Canis lupus familiaris: one gene and its partner. Each later gene encodes a partner of the first gene's protein in a complex. Links are inferred from orthologs where the notes say so. Each region holds a gene or a part of one and is shown in the gene's direction. Other genes may lie near its edges.

Region 1 (3,653 bases):
GGAAGTTACGGGTGTTTGTTTCGACGTTGGCCTCCATTTGTGGAGGAGGTAGGCTTGGCATGGTTAAGCTTCAGAAAAGAATACTGGAATAGAATCACTGAGGATATCTAATGACTCCTAGCACACCTTTTTCTTTCTTTTTAAACAAAGGTATGAGGGTGCTGGTAGATGCTCGAGAGAAACTTCATATTCCGTGGGGAGATAACTCAAACCAAGGCAACGGAGACAAGATGATGGCGTTTGACACCCGGTCCCCCATGGCGGCCCAGGGAATGGTGGAAACTCAAGTTTTTTTGCAGTATCTCCCTATCATAAGAGCACTGTGGGCAGACAGTGGCATACAGAATGCCTATGACCGGCGTCGAGAATTTCAACTGGTAAGAGATCTGTTCTTTTACATTGTTGTCATTTTATTTTAATGACATGTACTGGAAGCTGATTCTAACATACTTTTTTCACTGACTTCCACATTAAAATGTCTCCAGAATTTTAGTCTCAGAAATTTGGATTGGATTAGAGGAGTTTCTTACTGAGGCAAGATAAAAATAAGGTAAACCCCATAGATTTGGTGAAGCAGTTATGTTTAACTGGTCATTTTTCCTTTTTGTAAGTAAGAGGATAGTGATTTTCTTAGACATTTTCTCCTAATTTTATTCTAGTTTTGAAAATAATCTCCTCCCAATTGCAGCAGTGATATTCATCCTTTTAAAAAATTCATCTTCTACTCTCAGGCTGAGAGCCCGGTAACTACACCTAGTTGTTCAAGTGTGTCTTTTATATGGTCTTTTGAGGTACTCATTTTATGATACAGATTAATTTATAAAGAGTTTGAAGCCCTTGATAACATTTAAGTCATTGTACTTTATATATTTGCATACTGTGTGTATTTCTCTAAGGTTTCTCAGCACATATTACAAAATGTTTCTTCGTTAAAACCATAATCTTAGACTACGGTAAAGCTTTATAGCTGTTACAAAGCACTGTAGGTAGGGTGGAAAAGAAAAGATCTGATCTAGTTTAAAGATACAAATAATTATTGATACAATAATTATTGATAGTAAAGATACAAATAATTATTGAAATTGATTTTTTTTAATCAAGTGTTTTGCAGTTTAATTGTGAATGCTTTGATTATGTTCTGGGTTTTATTTGCCGAAGACCAGAAAGATCCCAGGAATGATAACAATCTAGACTGTATGCAATTTGGAGGTAGTTCAGATTTGAAGTGTTTTACTGTATTATGATCCTGAAAAAGTGACAGTTAAAAGTAAAACTGCTTAGAAAGTTGTTTAGTGATGTCACTGGCATTAAAGTGATACACATTTATGGGTGTGGCTACAAAATGATACACAGCCAGCAGTCTTTGCTATTACAGTTTGTACTCAGAGCAGCCTTGGCTACTAAAAAGTTCTAGAAACATGTTCATGACAGCATTTTATAAAACTGATTTTAAATCTTAACTTACTCTGAATTATGGCTCTCGCAGACACCATATAAATGTAGCACTTGATCACCTACTGTCTTGTATAGTTCTTCTCTTTGATGTGTGTATCTTGTCAAATAATTTGTCCATTAATCAAAGACTCATGTTATTATTAAAATCAAGTCACTGGCAGCATTCATCGTATATTGACAATTATGAATTTAACTTGACAAGTGACCTCTGTCCACTTCTCAGGCTTGTGGTTGATTTTTGTCCTTTGGTCAGTATTTCTTATAACTGATAGTTCCTACACATACTGCTGCTTCTCACCTGTTGTCACCCTGCCTCCTGTTTTTAAGTGCTGTTTATTCTCCTTTTTAATTCATTGATCACACTTTGCACTCTAAGGTTTCTCAGGATGTTATTCATTCTTCCAGGTCAGGGGAGAACCATCCATCTGTAAAAGCATACAGTTCATATTGATTGGATGAATAAACAGCAGTATTCTAAAAGTTTCTGTAGGAAAGTTTTTTAAGTCCATTTATCTAAAGTTGGGCCACACTTACACTTGAATTTGGATATTTACATCTTAATAGTTTTGTATCAAGACTGTCATGTTGGGGCGCCTGCATGGTTCAATTGGTTAAGCATCTACCTTCAGCTTGAGATCCAGCCCCCACATGGGGCTAGCAGGGAGCCTCCTTCTCCCTCTGCCTCCCTCACCTCCCTGTTCATGCACACATGCTCTCTCTTAAAATAAATAAAATCTTTAAAAAAAAAACAAAACAAAAGACTGTCATGTCATCGTAGTCAAGAAAGCATTCCTAAGTATTTGCCATTAAGAACAAACAGCTAAAACCACTCAGGATGAGGACCTACATGTTTTTGACTTGACCCAGTAATGCTTTAGCAGCAAAGGTCTTGAGCACAAGGAGAGACAGGTTCCAGAAATACTTTTTGCCTCATAAAAAGTAAGGGCAAAATAAAAGAAGAACAGGGAGAGATGTAATTTTAAACCCCTGGAGGACAGGAATTTTTTTCCTGTGTATATCCTTGGTGGTGTTAATGGCACCTGTCAAATATTGGAAGGGTTGAGTTACTACATTGAATTAATGATTCTTGTGCTTGTGGATGCTGTGTGGTGCTTGACACAGTGTTAGACACAGAGAAGGCACCTGGCTCATTTAAAATTTTTCTCATGGTCCTCTTCAATTCCTTTTCTTCTCTACACACATCAAATCCCAAGTCCTGTCTTTTCTACCCTTGAAAAATCTCTTGCATCTGTTGCCTCCTTTCCCCCTTTCCATTAATGTCTTAGTACCTCTTACTTGGACTCCCAGATAATCTTATTCAAACACAGCATGAGTTTGTTCAAAAAGCTATACTCATTCTCCATTACTTCCAGAACAGAGTTCAGCCTCTTAGAGTCAGTGTATTCATCAGTTTCCACATACCTTGATTGTCTGCTTCTGTGGTGGCTGTCTTTATAAGGTCTTTCTGTTATGGTTTTTCATTACTGTATCTATGCAGTAGGTCTTACCCTTAACTTAGAAAAATGGTAGTATTTCAGTGTGACCAAACATGGTCCATGGACCCCTTGTATTAGATTCACTGGAATGCTTGTTTAATAAAAAATGAAATGAAACAAAAACAGAGTTCTAGACTCCCATCGCAAGAGGATCTGATTCAGGAATCTGGGATGGGACCCAGTGATGTGTATTTGTGGCAGACAGTCAAGGATGATTTGGATGAATTTGCTTCTTGGCCACCCTGAGGGATAGTGCTTTAGGATCAGAGATTTCTCCAGCCCTCCTGGCTGGAGCGTTTCTCCCTGCCCTGTGCTCTCCTTTGGTCGCCTGCACTCCACTTGTTTGCACTTGTATTTGGTTCTCCTACTTAAGTAGAAGCTCCGTTGGTATGCCTAGTTCATCTTTTTCTCTCTTGCTAGCATAAGCCTGACACTTATTTTATTTCCTCGTTTTTTTAGACATTCTGAATTCTAAGTTCTTCTGGAAAAAAAGAGACATCCCACATGAAGTGTCTTCAGGGAAATAGGAATCATTTCTGGATGCTAGCTTGTCAATTTTCTAGGAGATGAGAAGTCATTGTCTTACAGAGTCATAATTTTCTTTTTATGTTTGCCAGTGTATATTCTTGAATCTTGGATAGAAAAAGTAAACCATCAGGGGAAAAGGGAAGAGTTAGTAGAAAAATAAAATTTGTCTTTTTT
Region 2 (3,653 bases), on another chromosome or scaffold:
GAACACATGTGGTTTTATGTCAGCTTGGCTTCTCTACCCAAGGAAAGCATATTCAGTGGGCCATGATTTGTTCATCCGTTCATTCATTCATTTATTCATTCAACCGTCATTTACTGAGGGCTGCTTCTATCTCCTAGGCACTGTGTGTGCCTTAGTCTCCATGACTAAGCTGAATGCTTATCACTGATGAATGGATTGTCACAGGGAACAAGTAAGATAGTAGGCCTGAAGGACCTTGTAAAATATAACCCAATATGCTGATATCAGCTATTTTTGTTTATTACTACATGTAAAATCCAAACCAGCCATTGCTTAATAGACATGGAGTAATCAAAGGTCTTGAGATTTTGAGGATTAAGGATACATGCTAAGAAGTGTCATTTTGTCTGCCTTTAGGCTTTCTTAAAAGCCATGGAAGAGGTTCTTCAACTGCCCAGTTGGATTGATGTATCAGAGGTAAGAAAAAAGAACATTTTGATCTTCAAAACGTATGCACTTTGGGAACCACTGTGACTTCCTAGAACTGGTGTAAATATGGCCCAATTCACATCTTGAAGAGAAATGATGCATCTTTTAGTTTTGTAATCTGAAATATTAGAGCACATTTTGACCAGATACAACTGATGTGAAGTACCATGTCTTCTGTATGGCTCAAGAATGTGTCAGTGATACATTATTCTCCTCAACACCAAGCAAGGAAATGGTTGCATTTCTTCCTGAGTGTATACTTGGTTGACCTCTGTTTATCATTTTTAAAAAAATTTTTTTTTAATTTTTTAAAATTTATTTATGATAGTCACAGAGAGAGAGAGAGAGAGAGAGAGGCAGAGGCAGAGAAACAGGCAGAGGGAGAAGCAGGCTCCATGCACTAGGAGCCCGACGTGGGATTCGATCCCAGGTCTCCAGGATCACGCCCTGGGCCAAAGGCAGGCACCAAACCGCTGCGCCACCCAGGGATCCCTCTGTTTATCATTTTAATAAGATATGTTTTACCATCACATTGTTCTTGAGTAGTAATAAAAAAAAAACATGTTTTATGTTTAAAGATCACTAGATTAAGTGAAAAAAGTAGAACACGTGACAATGTGTATTTCATGGTTATAAATGTAAAAACCAAAAAAGCTTCTTTTCCCCCTGAACTCCAAAGAATTAGAAAGGAGAATAGAATTTTTTCTTTTTAAAAATAACTTAATTGATCCTACTATTTAATGAATAAAACAAGTTAATATGTTGTGAAGGTAGAAACTGTAGATAGTAAAAAATGTATAAAAGAATAGATACCTGAAGTCCTAAGGTGGACCACGACCCTGAGCACACCCCTTCCCGTTCTGCTTTTATTTCACTTACCTGCCCACATAGTCTACAAATACGCTGTGTGTCTGATTTAACCTGGTTGTCTTTGACTCTGCAGGACAGTTTCCACTGACAGTAGGGAGATCAGTCAGGCTAGGCTAGGCTATGCTGCAGTAACAAATAGACCCCTGCATCTCAGTGGCATAGCACAGTTGAAACTTACTTCTCACTCATGCAAAGTCTGGAGTGGGTCCGAGGAGCCTCTCAGTCCAGTGACTTTGGGGTCCTGGCTCTGTCCATTTTCTGATGCTGTGGTCTTAACATGACTTCCAAAGTCCAGCAGTGGGGAGGACTCTCAACTGCCTTGCTTAGCAGAGTTGCAACCACACCATTGTAATATTAAAGTGCTCATTCTCCTGATATCCTATAAGGTTTAAAAAATATTTGCCAGTTTGAGGCAGAAATGTTATTAATGAGATTGCTGTATGGTTTACATTTAATGAACTTTTTATTTAAACAGTTTCAAATGGAATGAGATGGAGTTAACACTAGCAAAGGGAGGAAAACAAGGGATTTGAATTTACAGTTGATCTAGTATTACCTAGAAACAATTTCTTTTTTTTAAAATGCACAACCATCCAGAGGGACTGGAGGCTTCTAGAGGGACTCTGTGTACAGAACTGCGGCATGGGGAACCCCCAAAAAATGGCCAGTGGAGGACCTGAGCAGACCTATTTTATCAGCATCATTATAAAGTAATTTTTTCTTAATGTTCTGCCACAAAATATGAATAATCATGAAACTATTCAGACTTAGGAAGGCTCTAATGTGCATTCAAGAGAAGGTATTAATCAGCTACTGCCCACAGAACTACAGAGAGACACAGATTTCTATGTGTTTAGCCATGCTCTGCTGATTGAAATCAGGCCACAGGCCTCAATGAAAATGTCTAAAATTGGCCTCAATGTTCTATTCCCAGCTCATTAGATTCTCATGGAGTGTGCATCTGTGAGAGAGCGCTAAGGATCCTTAGCAGACAGATGCTTTTCAGAAAGGCAGGAAGGAGGCAAAGGGCATGATGGCAGAGAGGCACAGCCACCGCACACCCAGGGCACTGAAAGGTCCTGTCCCTGTAGTGGTGTGCCTGACGAGGGCCCATCAGCTGGATCTGAGCTGCTGCTGAGATATGGAATGACCAGGAGGGACCCCTGGGATCCTCTCTGTGTTGGGGAATCAGAATGAGTGAAGATGGCCTTTGGAGGGAAGGGATGCACCAGGGGGTTTGAAGAGGCCAGAGAGGATTTGGGGCGCTGGCACCTCCAAAGCATCCCTCCCCTGCATGGAGAATAGGATGAAGCTTCTGGTGTCCTTGTTCTGGAGGGCATTTGGGGGGCAATCAGCCCTCTCCTCCTGAAACGGAAGGGGGCAAGGTGGGGGCTGGTCAGAGCTTTGCTGAGGTGAGTCCAGAGGGTAGCTAGCACCAGGTCTCTGTGACCTGTGTCTAAGCATAGAAGCCTTGTGGCTGACGGCCAGGTGACTGGGATGTCTGCTCTCTACCAGGTCAGCTGGGTGGGTGACCTCACTGGCCACTTCTTTGCCTGTGAGAAGGGTAGTGCTGTGGGCTCTCCCCTGCTCCTGCTCATCTGCTCATTGAGGGGACAGGCGGCCTGCCTAGGCCACCACAGACACAGGGCATTCTTCCTTTGGAGGGTGCTGGTGGTGTCAGGGCCAGGCTGCATGTGTTTGGAGGGTAGGCTTCAGAATGGTCACTGTGCAGGTTCTGTTTTCTCAGTTTCCTTGTGTTGTGTTGTTTCCAGGACAATGCTATGGTGGTGGGCTTGATAGAGACTGTTGACACTGTCATGGGCCACATCTCTTCCAGCCTGGTCACCAACGAGCCCCAGGTCACCATCATAGGCTCCTCTTCCATGGCAGGTAGTTGTCAGCTGGGTGTGGGATGGGGCCTTTGGTGCAGGGGCTGGGGACTCAGGAAGGCAGCTGGCCTGTGAGGTTTGCTCTGACGGCCCCGTGCTCACCTACACACGCCTGCATGTACACATCTGCATGGATGCACGCATACACTTGCACGTGCGCACACACAGTGTACACACACTCACACACAGGTGCCCACACACTTGCACAAAGGTGCAAACACGTGCAGGTGTGCACGCACACAGGTGCACACACACACGTAGCAGTAAACACACCATCAGCTCAGACCTCTCTGCTTTCCTAAACTATGTTGCCCTTATGCAAAATTACACTTTGGAGGGGCAGTGAGATTGGGGCACAGGTGGTCAGCTGTGATGTGGACGCAAAGTCACAGAAGCATTTGATTGTGACTTGGGAGCCAGAATGAG

The links. Proteins that work in one complex are often made in the same cells at the same time.
Region 2: the proteins of GNA13 (region 1) and ADGRD1 are in contact, whole or in part, in a cryo-EM structure (PDB 9V0U), measured with the Homo sapiens proteins. The link is inferred for Canis lupus familiaris from reciprocal best matches to the Homo sapiens genes GNA13 and ADGRD1. Residues at the interface, in NP_006563.2 of Homo sapiens: Val49, Val216, Phe218, Phe359, Val362, Lys363, Asp364, Ile366, Leu367, His368, Asn370, Leu371, Gln373, Leu374, Met375; in NP_942122.2 of Homo sapiens: Asn599, Arg601, Leu657, Met660, Val661, Ile662, Val664, Phe665, Ser667, Val737, Ile738, Ile741, Ala761, Val764, Asn810.

The regions. Positions count from the first base shown.
Region 1 is NC_049230.1:11,987,745-11,991,397, reverse strand, and holds part of GNA13 (guanine nucleotide-binding protein subunit alpha-13), read left to right. Parts: intron 1-150; coding exon 151-377; intron 378-3,653. UniProt on the Homo sapiens protein: Guanine nucleotide-binding proteins (G proteins) are involved as modulators or transducers in various transmembrane signaling systems.
Region 2 is NC_049247.1:1,523,000-1,526,652, reverse strand, and holds part of ADGRD1 (adhesion G-protein coupled receptor D1), read left to right. Parts: intron 1-396; coding exon 397-456; intron 457-3,110; coding exon 3,111-3,228; intron 3,229-3,653. UniProt on the Homo sapiens protein: Adhesion G-protein coupled receptor (aGPCR) for androgen hormone 5alpha-dihydrotestosterone (5alpha-DHT), also named 17beta-hydroxy-5alpha-androstan-3-one, the most potent hormone among androgens. Also activated by methenolone drug.